Linked DNA regions of Caenorhabditis elegans. The protein of the gene in region 1 interacts with the protein of each later gene in a pairwise test. Each region holds a gene or a part of one and is shown on either strand. Other genes may lie near its edges.

Region 1 (3,881 bases):
ATGAAAGTGTTTGCAGCAAATGTTGAAAAGGCCAAGACATTGTTCGTAGAAGCTGTTGGAGAAATCGGAAAAATTGATTGGAGCGCAGAAATTCTTAAACTCAAGGTAAACTGTTAAAAGATTGAAAAATGAAAATAAATTGAATTTATAGACCGAAGCTCGCGAATCTGTCATGATTTCACCGGACGTCGTCATTCCATTCCTCACCACTGACAATCAGAAAAAGTTTTAAAATTTATTTTACAATCATTAAAATAAAGATATTATTGCAAAGTTAACGTTTCGAAGTTTCTCGAATCTTATCAAGAAGTGTATGAAATTCTGATCATTCAAAGAACGATTAGATTCCCGAACAGACGGAAACGCTCGCTGTATCAACAGTTGTTTCATTCAAAAGTGCACCGCAAACGTTTATGCCCTCGGACACGATGCAACCATCGGTTCCATGGTGTAGCGGTTAGCACTCAGGACTTTGAATCCTGCGACCCGAGTTCAAATCTCGGTGGAACCTATGGTTTTTGTTTTAAACTGAAGCAAAATCTTTCTTTTACTACGGTAGAATTTTCTTTATTGTGTGAGACAAAACATTCAAAAGAAATCAAGAGGTAAACTTTCAAAATGTTTCGTGAGTTGTAGTTCGGACTGCTTCTGTATTATTGCCAATATTGTCCAATTTGAAGATATGCGGGTGATAGTGTTTACGGAAAATATCATATTCCTTTGGAGTCAGTACGTCACGAATCAAATCCTTGACTGATCCAACAAATCTTTCATTGATTGTTTCAGCAATTAGAGCAAAAGCCATTGAAGGACGTGTTGCATATTTATGAATTTGTTCAGCAGCCGGATCAAATGAGTAGACAATCATTCGTTTAACTCTTGCCTTCACTAACTTTGCTGATTTTTCATCAAGATCTTCGACTAGTCCTTTTTGAGCTTTTGCTAACTCACTTATTTGTTTTGTGGATAATGTTCTGCGGAGACGAGTGTAAACATCTGAAAATATATATTCAAAGTCAACCAGAACTTAATGGAACTAGCAAACAATTACCATCTAAAATATCATCCATTGACTTTCCTTTGTGCATTCCAACAGCAGCTACATCAATACTCTAAATATATTTGTTCTTATAAAAAAATTTCCTAATATAGTTCTAGATACCTTGGACAGTTGCGCATCTGACAAGAAATCAGAGATGAGAAGTTTGAACCTCTGTACAGCCAACTTTTTGGAATCGCTACCTTCAAAAACTTAATTTTGTGATAATTTTCCAATTTGCACAAAATCAGCAAAACTATACCTGCTGTGAAACCTCTTGGTCTATGAGAAATAGGAACCTTCGATATCGTTACAGAAGCATTTTCCATTTTGTGATTCTCAATAGATGGAGTGACAACAGCCGCATTGGTCACCCAGAAGAGAACAAGAAAATATAGAAGAATTGTAAACATATTTATGAAAAATCATAGCATTAGATTCTCCTTTTATTCAATAAAATTGACCTTGGTAACCTCGACTTTGGAATTGATTCTTTGTACAAATCGGATTATCGGACAATAGGCGGACCTTTCTGCTCTCTCTCTCACACATTTCAAGAATCGTGCGTTCTTGAAATAATAAAATCCTGGGGAATGTATGTTGTATGTGTTCATATGTTTCTGGTAGAGAAAATGTATGTAAAATCAAAAACATGAAGTTCAAAAGATTATACTTTGTCACGAGGTTGATTTATAATAGTTTCATATTTTAGTGAGAGCTTTAGTAAAATATATTCTTACATGGTTTTGTATGTCATCAACTAATCAAAACCGAAACCTCTAGTTATTTTTAAAAACCCATACTGTTTCAGTTTCAACTTTAATAAATTTGTGCAATTACATATTTTACAGTCCCTTTAGTTAGTCCACTTTGTATAGTTTACATTCTTGAACGGATGTACAGAACTATAAATAATCTCACGTTGTAGTTGAATTTATTGTTAAATGTCTCGTGATGCATATTGACACCTCATTCTGTCTACTGCTTCATCTCTTTTTCCTTCTCCTGCACAACCTCTTCAAGAGAAATCGATATTCGTGCGCGCATTGCGAGCCCTCTAGTTAGAGGTCACGTTGCCTTCAAGAGATTACACATACTGGGTGTTCCTTTTTGAAGAAATAGTGTTAAAAGTGAAGATACGAAGACAATGCAAGAAATACTAATGAACACAACCGATTGAAAGATTGTGCTCCATATCTAATGTTTCCTTTGAGTTTTCTTCTTAAAGTATTTATCACTTCAATAAAATGTAAATTTTAGAGCCATGGACTCGGACTGGGAATCAACCTTTGAATTTGTTTCCGAAACTGGACAAATCAAAAAAAGAGGATCAAAAACTTCGGAGCTCAAGCAAAATGAGACAACTGATGCAGTGGTGAGTTGACTTTTTATTAAAAGTATTAAAATTCTATAGGACAGTAAGATGTACACTTTTCAGGTTGTGAATAACGAGAAGGTAAAGAAAAGAAGAAACTCTAAAGATTCCCATATAGTTCTTGCAAAAGAAATTTTCGCCGTTGCCTTTTTTTCATTAGGCATGTCATGTCTCTTAATGGCGGACGTCTCCACATTTTTATGGGGAATAAATGTGAGTTTCAAGGATATATTAGAATTTTGTAAGATTTGTTTAATTATCCCTTTAAATATTTACAGAATCCAAACTCCCAGCAATCAAAATCAATTGGTTCTAACATCGACCAAATGTCTTCTGAAGAGTTCCAACAGAAAGTTCATGATTACATGTCTGAAATTCAACGTACAGGACGAGACAAAAGACCAAGCCGCCGATTCGTTGATTCTGCAAGATTCTATATTCTGTCTGAAATTGAACCAATTGAGTTGGCACTTCGTAGAGAATGGATACCTGATCATTCATTTTTCGAAGGAGTTCAAGAATTTATTCGTGGAATGGAATGGGAGAATACTTTCGAAGAAGAACTTTTTGTTCGTGGAGTTCCAAATTTTGACCATGATTTTGAGTCGGAAGAGATGACTTTGAAGACAACATTGGATGGAAAGAACTATAATAATCAGTTCTTGAATCTAGGAAGAAAGGAGATTATTGGAAAACATCATTCAATGGAATATTTCATTTCTGGAAGAACTTTGATTAGATTGGTAAAGAACGAAGGCCAAGAACTATCACGTACAGAATATTATCTGAAACATGGAGATTTGCATGTATATGACAAAAGAGGAAACTTAGATTGTACCCGAGTATATCGTTCTCCTACCATCTCTCCTATGCTTCAATCCAAAATTCGTCAATTTTAATTTTCATTTGTGACAGAGTTTTGCCTAATGATATTCTATTAGTCCCCGATTCTTATTTTTAATGTAAAATTCTGTTTTTTTTTTTTCGCTTTCCATGTTTAAATATGTACAGTTTTTCTATTTTTCTTTTCAATAAAAACCAACAACAAACATTTGAAAATGCATCTCTGTCCAATTTTGAGTTGAAGTGAATAGGGCGCATTACTGTGTAACCCCACTAACAATTTTAAGGAAAATTCATAACTAAAAGAGAAAATTTTAAAAAATTAATTTAACAAGCATATTTCAAGACCAAACTCCCATTGACGAAACTTTGCTGACGACATTATCTGATTTTTAGTTTTCATTTTTGAGCACTGTAATTATTTTCTTCATTCTTCAGTTTTTTTTCTCAGCCTTCATTATTCATCCATGCCTCCTCCTCCCACACACCTTTTTCTGTTTATCGATGCTTCTTCCCCCGTTCATCAACCCATGAATTAAGTGGGCGTGTACCTGTCCGATCGACTGAAAGTCTTTTTCTCTTCATCTTCTCACTTATTTCATATAAATATCATACTGAGACTGA
Region 2 (4,069 bases), on another chromosome or scaffold:
TTTCTTGACAGTGATAATCCGTTCAAGATACTAAAGGTTTAAAAATAAGCTCTTTACTCATTAAAATACTATATTTCAGGATTTTCAAAAGTCTGCAAATGCACATGAGCGCTTGAAAACTGAACTCTGGCAGGCAAATGATCAAATTGAGATGATTTTTGAAAATAATAAATTGAAGACTAAAAAACTCGAAGAAAACTACAGAAATGCAAAGGATCAGCTCAAACTTAAGGAAGCGCATCATCTGAAGCTTACTCAGCGAATCGAAGATCTCGAGAAAAAATTGGCAGAAAAAGATGAACGGCTGAATTATCTGGAGCAACTTCCAAATCAAAATGAACTATGTTCAATGCTTCAGAAAGAAATTTTGAAACTTCGTTCATCGCCTGCTAGAGATAGTGAAATTGACATTTTGAAGGAAAGTCTTGAAGCTCAGAAACAATCTGAAACGTGGAAGATCCAGAAGCTTACAACAGAGAATAAGATACTGATGAATGAAAAAGATGAGAGAATTTTGAAGCTTGAAAAGTATATTGAAAGCATGAGAACCAAGAAATTTTAAGATTGAGAAAAGAGCTCGAGAGAAGAGAAAATAGCTTGAGAGAAGCACAGTCTCGAAATGGTAAGAAATTTTTATGAACATGTTTACCGGAAAAATGCAAGAACAGAAAAGTATGTTTTTATATTTTCAGAAAAATCACAAAGTTTATCATCTCAATTCATGAAACAGAGGGATCCTGACATCGAATTAATCTACCACTCAGAAAATAGAGGAAAAGCGAGCAGTAAAGATAATGCAATGGAAACCAACTCCCATAGTTCTAGTGGAACTAAAAAGAGAAGAGTTATTTCTTCAGAAGAGTTGGAAGGTGAGCTTTTTTGTTTTAATAATATCTGATTAACTCTGAAGAAATTGTTTTAGCTTCTTCCTCGTATCCTATCGCAAGCATGAAGAATTGTCTGAAAAATGAAGAAATTCAGAAAATGCAAAAAGCTCTGAAAGAGAAAGATGAGCAAATTTCGAAACTTACCGAGCAACTTCAAGGACTTCTGATTAATCGGGACAAAGAAACAAAAGTGGAGGATTTGCAGCAATTCGAATACGATGGGGATTCTGACGGATAATCTTCAAAGAGTCAAGCATCTAATAGTTGGGATCTGATGAATGACATTTGATTTCCATTTTTCCATGTTCTAACTGATACGTTAAGTTCATTTTATTAGTGATGCAACATGTATGTAAATATTTTTGTTTATTTTGTAAGTAGCAAGCTCTGGTATCTAATTTTCATCTTGTTTCGTTTTTGTTTTTCCTTTTTTTTCTCAATTAATACATAATGAGTTTTTAATTTTTTTTCTCGAATTTTCGTTGATTTGTTGTTTTGAAATTCTATTTTGAAGACCTGGACAAAGTGGGAAAACCGAATTTTCAGGCTTTGTTTAACTTGGGCTCGTGCAGTAGATCATTGAAAAGTGAAGAATCAGATGGATGGGATCATATGAGCGATGCTTAAGCTTTTTTAATTCGTAATTTCAATTTTCTGAATTTTTTCTGTCAAATTCTATTTATTTTAATATTCAAATTAACTATTTTGCATTTTTATTCATTTTCCTTTGTTCTTCAAAATTGTAAATTCTTCGTGTAAGTTGTATATCATATTCTTGAATCTTTTCCTCAATAATTCTAAAATTCCATTTCGACCTATTTCCTCTCAGGGCTTTACTTGATTTTTCAGTGTTTTTTTCAACCTCGTCGTTATAAAATTTTTACATTTTTTTCAAATACTTCTTGTGATTTTTGGAAGGTTTTACACCTTTTCAAATACCTTTTTTATTACCTCAATACATGGAGTCTAAATTGATATTTTAGTAACTTGGACTGGAAAGTATGATGGACAACCTGAAAGCTGAATTGGCACAAGCGAAAATCGACATCGATCAATTGGAAAAGAAACAATGGGAAACTTTGGAACAATTGGTGATGAGAGATAAGCTTATTGAGCAATGCTCTCTACATACGGAGATTCTTCAAAAAGATTTTCGAGAGAGTGAAGCACGAATTATTCAACTTGAGCAGCAACTTTTGGAACCTGGAGAATGTGGTAGTGAGCTTCGGGCAACTATCAAAAATCAGGAGGAGTTACTCAAAAAGCAATCAGAAGAAATTGAGAGGTGTAAGGAAGAGAGCCGCATGTTGATTCAACAGAAGGAAGAAATGGAAAATATTCATTCAGAAGAAATATTTGGAAAAAACAAAACAATTTCGAATCTTCGTAAACAGATCGATGGTGATGTTGAGAGAAAGAAGGCAAAGATTCGTACGTTGAGAAAAGAACTGTGCTCAGCGGATATGAATACAGGAAAGATGTGTAGACGTGCCAAAAGAGCGGAAGATAGAATTGCTAAATTGGAATCCGATCTTGAAGGTAAGCTATTGTTTTACTGAAAGTTGGCCAACATTGGTTAGAAAACAGATGAAGTTGATTGAAAAAACGAGCTGTTCTATTATATATTAAAGTATTAATTAAAAATTACCATCTATAATTTTCAGAAGAACGCCAAAAACATGTGGGACAAGACATCAGTCATATTTTGGATCAACATAACTCGACCGTCATGGCGTTAGAGATGCAACTTGCAAACACTCAGCAGGAAAAAGCCACGCTTAATACATCAGTTGAAGATCTTAAACTTCGAACTGAAGAGTGGAAGCACAACTTATTGGGGCAATTTGAAGTATTGACAGGTAAGCTTGTGAAAGTTTTCTAGGGGTTTTACACACATCTGTAAGCATTTTCTTTTATTTCAGCCAATTCAAAGAGAGAATGTGAATCAAAAGAAGAACAGATTGCAAATCATAAAAGAGAAATCATGGAAAAAGATAGCAAAATTGAGTGTCTGATGGAACTTATTCAAAATAGCGAACGATCCGCTGAAATTCAGAAGATGCATGATGCATTGAGAGAGAAGGATTTGAAGATTTCGGAACTTTCGGAAAAACTGCAAGGTCTTCTTATCAATCAAGAAGGAGAAGCTGATGATACAATGATCGATCAAGATGACGACAATAAATCCACACACAGTGAAGATTCAGATGGATGGGATAAAATAAATGCCATCTAATTTTTTGCACTAAAAATGCGCCCCGATTTTTCATATGCTTTTTAATTTTTTTCCTTTTTTCCTTTTAAATTTTAAATTCAACTTCGTATTGGAAGAAAGTAGCTCTTTAATCGTATTACCTTAAGCCTTCAACAAAAAATTATTTTTAAAAAACAATTGTATTCTTGTAAACTTTGTACCTTTTCTGTACTGCACTGTATTATAAACTTCATATGTTTCCCGTACTTTTGCGTGACTCTGTCATTGTTTATACTAATGTGAAAACATTTTACTTATTACTATTTCACAAATTTTCAAGTATCTTCACTTATTCTCAGGGATATTCTGTTTCTCACCTCATTTAAAAACTATTCTCATAACAATTATGTTCTTTCTCAATAAAGTTAGTATTACTTATTGTGCTCATTTTATATTTAAAAGGTTCTCATTTCCTTTCCGATTATTTTCAGAGCGTTTCATGTGCAGTATTGGTAGGTATTTTCTATCCATACAGTATTGTTGGGAACTCGATGTAAATTTTCGGAGATGTATTTTATTTTACAAAAAATAGTTTTGAAATTGCTCAATTCGGATAAGTGTGGCTGAAGCTTCGAAAACTGACTAATTTGTATGAAAACATCTTAAAAAAGAACAATAACTTCAATTGAGAACATTCGTTGGCTAGTCAGACAAATTCGATTTTCCTAACATCTAAAATTGCCTTGTTATTTTTTTCGTTACTGAAATTATGGCAACACTTACAAAAGATAAAATACTATAATCATATATCTTATCGCATTTTGTTTGCAATCCTTTGCTCCTTAAATGTTAATTTTCCCTAATAGCAAATAACATTGGCCCTCAAGTTACCAAACGAAAGAGTTCGACTTATATTCTCTTTGATCAATGCGACCTGTCTGTCGCTTTACAATGACCTACATTCTTCCCAACTTCTCTGTATAATATG
Region 3 (7,912 bases), on another chromosome or scaffold:
TTGAATTTTCAAATTTCCCGCCAAAAATTGACTGAAAATTTGAATTTCCCGCCAAAAATTGATTGAAATTTTAAATTTCCCGCCAAAAATTGACTGAAAATTTGAATTTCCCGCCAAAAATTAATTGAAACTTTGAATTTTCAAATTTCCCGCCAAAAATTGACTGAAAATTTGAATTTCCCGCCAAAAATTAATTGAAAATTTGAATTTTTGAATTTCCCGCCAAAAATTGACTGAAAATGTACTAATTCACAATTTTAGTTATAAAAATGCCGAAAATCGATAATTCTTAAAAAAATCAATATTTTCACCAAAAAATCGATAAATCCATCGAAATTTAAAAAAAATCGATAATAAATTTATTATTTCAAAACATTACAATATTCTACATTTTTTATCACAATTGTAGTCGTAAAAAATCAAAAATCAATAATTCTTTAAAAAATCGATATTTCCACCAAAAACTCGATAATCACTCAATTATTCTGCGGCGCAACATGAGCAACCTTCTGCCCGGCGTATTTTTCCAAATTTTCATAGTGTTTTTTGAGTGAAGCCCGAACACTTTCCGATCGATGTCGATGACTATTTTGATTGGAATTATTCGAACCAAACAGCTCCTCCTCACGGCTTATTCTTCGTGCGTCCCGGCCCGAATCCACGTTTCCACCGATTTTTTGCTCATTTCGGATTCTTTCGATTTCCGAGCATTCGGCGGTGAGCAGGGTCTCGAGGTGTTGAAGCTGAAGGAATTTTGGGGATTTTTAAAGTGGGAAAATTGGGAAAAATCGATACATTTTCCAAAAAATCGATAAATTTCTCAAAAAATCGATAAATTTCTCAAAAAATCGATAAAATTCCTAAAAATCGATACATTTTCCAAAAAATCGATAAATTTTTCAAAAAATAGATAAAACTCCTAAAAATCGATACATTTTCCAAAAAAATGATATTTTTCCGAAAAATCGATCTTTCTCAAAAAATCGATAATTTTTCCAAAAGATCGATAATTTTTCAAAAAATCGATAAATTTACAACCAACCTGTCTGTACTTGGCCTCTGTCACCAGCTTCATCTCCGTCACATGTTGGTCAGCCGTAGAAATTTGCTGAGATTTCAGATCCAGCTCGTAGGCTTCTGCTTTGATTCTCTTGATGTCCTGGTCCCGTTTTCTAGAAAAAAAAACGTATAATTCTCATCAATATTATACAAGGAATCGAACCAGGGACCTGTGCGTGATAGCCATCTCTCTACCCAACTGAGCCACCCGGCAGTCGAAAAATTTTTATAGAATAGCTCACCCGACGCAGAATTTCACGCTGATTATTTTTGCAGTTGAAAATTTTTTGATATCTCTACCGGCTGAAGAGTTATGCGCCTTTAAAGTTACAGCGACGAGACAGTGTGGAGGGGGGAGAGACGCAGGGTGCGCGCCTGCGTCTCTCCTCCCCCACACTATTTCGCGCGCAGACTTTGAAGCGGTGTATCTCTGCAACGGTGATAGCTAGCGAAAAATTTCCAACTAAGAAAATGTTCAAAATTTTGCGCTTTACTAGTTTAGATTTCCCCGTAGCTCTGTTGATAACCCAACTTACGCAAAGAATTCGCTCTTCTCCTGCTCCAAAAGCTCCCGTTCACTGCTCAGCCGGAAAAGCAGCTCGGTTTGATCTTTGTGGTAGAATTTCTGAAATGTTTGAGCGTATTTTATAAAAATTCCAAAAATTTTGAGGGGGGAGCATACCAATTTATTAGCCAGGTCCAGCTTCTCTCTCTGCACATTTTCAATGACTCGGTCTTGATTTTCCTTGAAAATTTGACGTTCAATTTTCAGACGGTTCCACTCCTCTTTTGTCCTCCATTTTTCCTTGAATTTTTGGAAATTTTCAGAAAAAATTTTTAAAAAAATTTTTCAAAATTTTTTTTGAAAATTAAAAAAAAAATTTCAAAAATTTCAAAACTTTCCAATACATTTTAAACATTGTACTCTAATTACATACTTGTTCATTTTCATCCTGTTGATTTTTGACCAAATCCTTCAAGCTTAGGTTAAGCTCATGAACTTTCAGTTGCTCAAGCTTCAGAGCCGCCACATCCTCGGAGAGCCTGAAGCTTCATAACTTGAGAACCCGCAGAGCTATCGAAAAATTTTCAACTGACAAAATGTGCTCCGTAACAAGAGCTACAAGTTGTTAGTTGACAATTTTTTGATAGCAAGCTTGGCTACTGAGATATGACTCACTTTGTCTCTCGAATTTTCAGCAGTTCCTCTTGCAAGTGGAAAAGAGCGCTTTGCTCCGAGCTCACTTTATTGGTGCTTGCTCTGGAAAATCAATACTTGTAATTTGTTTTTAGCACCAGAATCAATAGCTCTGAAGGAAAAATTTGAAAAAAAACAAATTTTTAAGGACTGTTTTGCGTAAATCATGATTTTTCAACTTTTTCAGGATTTTTAGAGGATTCTGTAAATTTTCAGAAATTTTCATGTCTATTTTCAGATTCCCCATCCAAAACTACCCTAGACCTAGTTTTTCAGAGCTCTAGCTCCAAATTCCGTAAAATCAGGTGTCAGGTCCGCAAACACCAAGGTACAGTAACCCAAGACACCGAATTTCACGCAAAGTTGCACTAAAAATCTGAAAATGGAGGATTAGGGGTAACTTCGCACGGATAATCAGAAAATCTGCTCAAAATTTCAAAGTTTGGGCCAAGATTTGGCCCGAATTTTTTAATTTTTGAATTGTTTTTTCTAAAATTTCAAGATTTTTTTTCAAGTTTCATAAATTTTTGTGTGAATTTTCAGATTCCCCATGCCAAGTTACCCCTATCCCGAAAATTTCAAAAATTCCGTAAAATCAGGTGTCCAGTCCGCAAACACCAAGGTACTACTGAAGGTACCAACACACCAAATTTGACGCAAAGTTGCACTAAAAATCTGAAAATTGAGGCCTAGGAGTGGTTTTGCACGGAGAATCAGAAAATGAGCTCAAAATTCAAACATTTTGAATTTTGGGCCAAGTTTGCGCACTTGGTTTGTGAATTTTTGACCTTTTTTGGATTTTACTAAAATTTCAGCGTTTTCCAAAAACTTCCTGAAATTTTTATATAATTTTCCAGATTACCCATGCCAAACTACCTCTTTCCCTAATTTTTCAGAGCTCTAACTCAAAATTCCGTAAAATCAGGTGTCAGGTACGCAAACACCGAGGTACAGTAACTCAAGACACCGGATTTGACGCAAAGTTGCACAAAAAATCTGAATCTGAAAATTGAGGGTTAGGGGTAATTTTGCACGGAGAATCAGAAAATCTGCTCAAAATTTTAAAATTTTGAAGTTTTGGGGCGAATTTTTCGATTTTTAAAATTTTTTAAACCGATTTTTTAATATTTTTCAATTTTAAAGGCACATAGTCAACTTACACCACATCCGCCGCAATTTTATCAATATTCGTAGAAATTGTATCCACTTTCCCCACCACTGCCACTAGATCCCCAACCTGACTCGTCGATGACGTCACATTCTCTAGCTGCCTATCGTAATTGGCTTTAAGCCTTTCGAGCTCCACGTGATGCTCATCTTGAAGCTTTGAAATTTGTGCTCTTTGTGCAGTTTTTGAGTCTTCCAGTGCCTTTTCCGAGTCTTTTGACTGGATTTCCAGCTTGGTTTTCCAGAAATTCTCCAAATCTTCCTCGTCTTCTCGTTTCTTGCGTTTTGTGTCTTCAAGCTCACGGTTTACACGTTCTAGCTCGGCTTCTAGTCTGAAATTTGAAAAAAATTGAGAAATTTGTTCCAGAATTTGATTTTTGATATAAAATTAAAAAAAAAATTTTCCAAAAATTTTGAATTTCAAAATTTTTTCAAAATTACCGATTTTAGCTGATTTCCTATCGATTTTATCGATTTTTTCATTTTTTAGCCTAAAAAAACATCCATTATGCTCTTATTTAAAAAAAAAACGACGGAACCTAGCCGATATGGGTGTTATTTTGAAGCTCTCAGTGAGCTGAAGGTGATAAAATACTGAAAAAAAAACAAAATTACCAAAAATTAAAAAATAACTTTTTTTGAATTTTTGAAAAAAAAATTTCAAAGAAAGTTTTTTTAAAGCTGATTTCCTATCGACTTTATTGATTTCTCTATTTTTCAGCATCAAAAACACCAATTATGCCCATAATCCTCTAATTTTTGGATTTTGGGTCCCGCCACGAGGGGTACTGTAGTACCCGAATAATGCCCAAATTTTGAACAATTAGGGTAGTATAGCCGATATGGGTGTCATTTTGAAGCTCCCAGTGAGCTGAAGGTGATAAAATAGCCAAAATTTAAAAAAATTAAAAATTAAAATTTTTTTTTGAATTTTTGAAAAAAAAATTTCAAAAAATTTTTTTTTTCGAAAATTTTTAATTTCAAAATTTTCTCAATATTTATTGATTTATGATTAAAGTATTTATTTTTGATCGATTTTTCACGTTTTCAGCTCCAAAATAACCCCAATAATGCTCAGAACCCTCTAGTTTTTGGATTTTGGGTCCCTCCACGAGTGGTACTGTAGGCACCCGAAATATTCTAAAATTTTGAAAAATGACGGAAACTAGCCGATATGGGTGTTATTTTGAAGCTCTCAGAGAGCTGAAGGCGATAAAATATCAAAAAACGAACAAAAATTTGAATTTGAAATTTTTCGAATTTTTGAAAAAAATTCAAAAAATGTGTTTTTCGAAAACGTTAAATTTTGAAATTTTCTCAAAATTATCGATTTCAGATAATTTTTGTTTGATTTATCTCATTTTTCAGCTTTTTAGCTTCAAAATAACATCCATTATGCCCATAGTCCTCTAATTTCCGATTTTTGGGTCCCGCTACGAAGGGTACTGTAGGTACTCGAAGAATGCCCAAATTTTGAAAAATTAGGGTAGTATAGCCGATATGGGTGTCATTTTAAAGCTCTCAGTGAGCTGAAAGTGATAAAGTAACGAAAATTAACAAAAATTAAAAATTAAGTTTTTTTTGAATTTTTGAAAAAAAAATTTTTTTCGAAAATTTCAAATTTACCTCAAAATCCTTCCCGCATCAAAATTATCCGGTGGTGGAGCAGTAGCCGTTGGCTGTGAAGCCGCCGGAGCGGCTACAGTAACCCCTGGGGTTACTGTAGCAGCTCTTGGCGCCGTGCCAAAAAGGTCGTCGAGGGTGGAGGCGCCTGCGGGTCTCCGTGGAGCCGACGCCGCACCTGATGCTCCAAGCCCAGAGCCCGTGCTTGTGCCAAATAGGTCGCTGAGAGCATTTGTAGAACGACCAGCCTGAATTTAGGAAATTTTGAAAAATAATTTTTTTTCGAAATTTTGAAAAAAATTTTTTTTTTGAAAAATGTCTTATTTTTGGAATGTTACTCTTCGATAGGCCATTTATGATATTACCAGCTTTCAAATAACCCCAATATTGCTTAGAATCCCGTAATTTTGATGTTTAGGGTCCCGCCACGAGGATACTGTAGGCACCCAAAAGTTGATCCAAAAATGAAAATTAACGGGGTATAGGCGATATGGGTGTCATTTTAAAGCTTAAGGTAAGATAAAAACGTTGAAATACAGATTTTTAGAAAAATTTGGGTCAAGAAAAAAAATAAAAAAATTTTCAAAAAACATTTTTTTTTTTAAACTTACCGCTCTCATTTCAGATGTATTTTCTTCCCGGTTTGTTGCAAAATTTACAGTTTTAGGTGCCTGCGGTTCCTGAAAATCAGTCTTATAGCATCATCCAAAATTCAGGCCAAAATAGGCCAAAAGCCTTTTTTTTTTGGATTTTTCGCAGTTTTTTCCCAAAAAGAAGTCACAAAATCACCTTATCCAAGTCAGAGTCCAATAAAAAATCTAGTCCACTACTTTTCGGCCGCGAATTTTTCGAATTTCCCGGCAAATTGGGGGGAGGTGGTGGTGCTGGCTGGGGTGGTTCGGTGTCTAAATTCTGAATAAAATATCGAATTTTTTTTTGAAAATATGCTGAAAACGCACATCTAATAAATCTCCCCACTCATCGTCTGACATACACGAGAAATCTGGAAAATTTTTTTTGTTTTTGAAAAAAACATTTTTTTTCGAAAAAATGCCAAAAAAAAATTTTTCAAAAAACGTTTCTAAAACTAATTTTAACTAACAAAAAATCATTTTTTTCAAGGTTTTGGTCAAAAAATTTGCAAAAAACCGCAAAATCGGACATAATTTCCAGGAAAATCGAAAATTAGCTCTAAAAAATTCTAAAAATTTCCAAAACTCACTAAACTTTTCCAAAACTTTTTAACCAACCTATTTCTAATACCTAAAACCTAAAAATTTCAGTAAAAACATAATAAAATGCGGGAAATCGAGAATAAAGGGTCTAAGCGGGACGAAGGGGGTGAAGCTTAAAGAAGGGGGTTGCCATAGTAACCGACTGGGGCAGAAGCTTCGAGAGTTTGCAGAGGAAGAAAGAAGCTGGAGACGGAAATAATAGGGAAATGTATAGCAGACCTCGCTGATAACAAATGATTACCCGGGGAACCTAGGGGGCATAGGGGAAAGGGGGGTAAACAAGGAAAACTCAGTGGAAATTTGAAAAACAACGACTTGCGGAACAAAAATTGGCAGATTTTGCGATAAAATTCGCTTTTAACCGTGAATTTTGAGTTATTACACAAAAAAGTTGGAAAATAAAATTTTTGCTCAAATGGCGCAGTAGGTCACAGAGATGGCTGGCACCCAGAAGGTCACGGGTTCGACCCCCAGCGTAGCCATTTTTTTTTCAATTGCGTTTCACACATTTAATTATTTTTTGAAAGTGTGCAAGTAACATTTTGCAGTTTTTACTAAGATCTTGAATCTGTCAAAGGGTTTTTCGAATTTTACCGGTTTTTTGGATAGTTCGACCCAAAATTTCAATATTTTGACGCCAGAAACTTTGAAAAATGCCCTAAAATAATTCTTCTGGCAATAAAAGATAAAAAATAAAATTTCGACCAAGTGGCGCAGTCGGTAACAGGGATGGCTATGACCCAGAAGGCCACGGGTTCGACCCCCCGCTAGAGTCAAAATTTTTTTTAAACTCTAAAGCTAAAGACAACGCAGTTAAAAACTATCATGACTTGGAACATGCCTATATTAGGCCTGAATTCGGTTCATTTCAGCCTATTTCGGCCCAAATATTTAAGTTGCTCAAACCTAGCCAATATGGGTGTTAAAACTATCCAAATTTCACGGAGAATCTGAATTTTTAAGTTACAACTCACAAAAAATTAGGGAAAATTGGTCACCGCTATTGGCTCTATGCCATACATGGCCCAAATTGAGTCCAAAACTGCTCTGTGTGTCCGGATGTCCTTATCAGCTGATATCATCAGTTTTCCCCCGCATATCGGTCACTACTAATTTGCGAGTAGCCAGCCGCCGTCTCTGCGTCTCTCATCGATCTTATCATCAACAAAATCGTAAATTGCCCGTTTTATTTGGACGAATCGGCATCTACCGTAACCAACAAATAGACTATGCTTTAAAATTGTTTGGTATGAGTGAAAAAGAAAAATATTGACCCTAGCAGGGGGTCGAACCCGTGACCTTCTGGGTGGTAGTCATCTGTGTTACCCACTGCGCCATTCGTGCAAAATTGGGATTTTGACTTTTTTTTTGCTCTGACCTTAAAACTTTAGGTTTATATGTTATTTTTATTTTTTCAGTTAGGAAACTATGGATTTTAGACTGATATTTAACAAATTAGAGTTGAAAATCTGTATTTAAAAGTTAAGCTGTGTTCTATGACATTTAAATTGATGAATCCTAGCAAATTTAACAAGAAAAAAAATTGACCCCAACGGGGGGTCGAACCTGTGACCTTCTGGGTGGTAACCATCCGTGTTACCCACTGCGCCATTCGTGAAAAATTCCAATT

The links. Proteins that work in one complex are often made in the same cells at the same time.
Region 2: the proteins of B0228.1 (region 1) and F20C5.6 interact in a two-hybrid assay, tested with the Caenorhabditis elegans proteins (one large-scale study listed by BioGRID).
Region 3: the proteins of B0228.1 (region 1) and dyf-19 interact in a two-hybrid assay, tested with the Caenorhabditis elegans proteins (one large-scale study listed by BioGRID).

What each region holds. Positions count from the first base shown.
Region 1 is NC_003280.10:7,753,579-7,757,459, reverse strand, and holds B0228.1 (uncharacterized protein), read right to left. Parts: upstream 2,118-3,881; 5' UTR 1,453-2,117; coding exon 1,302-1,452; intron 1,243-1,301; coding exon 1,163-1,242; intron 1,113-1,162; coding exon 1,052-1,112; intron 997-1,051; coding exon 614-996; 3' UTR 553-613; downstream 1-552. Other genes in the region: B0228.7 (S-methyl-5'-thioadenosine phosphorylase), read left to right, coding at 1-105, 152-232; B0228.6 (uncharacterized protein), read left to right, coding at 2,304-2,414, 2,478-2,627, 2,693-3,313.
Region 2 is NC_003282.8:8,771,008-8,775,076, reverse strand, and holds F20C5.6 (ELKS/RAB6-interacting/CAST family member 2), read left to right. Parts: upstream 1-1,870; 5' UTR 1,871-1,888; coding exon 1,889-2,426; intron 2,427-2,551; coding exon 2,552-2,746; intron 2,747-2,809; coding exon 2,810-3,123; 3' UTR 3,124-3,517; downstream 3,518-4,069.
Region 3 is NC_003283.11:19,623,189-19,631,100, reverse strand, and holds dyf-19 (Fas-binding factor 1 C-terminal domain-containing protein), read right to left. Parts: upstream 6,053-7,912; 5' UTR 6,040-6,052; coding exon 6,007-6,039; intron 5,960-6,006; coding exon 5,837-5,959; intron 5,728-5,836; coding exon 5,659-5,727; intron 5,296-5,658; coding exon 5,051-5,295; intron 3,757-5,050; coding exon 3,418-3,756; intron 3,215-3,417; exon of another isoform or gene 3,157-3,214; intron 2,321-3,156; coding exon 2,240-2,320; intron 2,104-2,239; coding exon 1,998-2,103; intron 1,865-1,997; coding exon 1,742-1,864; intron 1,685-1,741; coding exon 1,596-1,684; intron 1,274-1,595; exon of another isoform or gene 1,202-1,273; intron 1,173-1,201; coding exon 1,043-1,172; intron 744-1,042; coding exon 477-743; 3' UTR 340-476; downstream 1-339.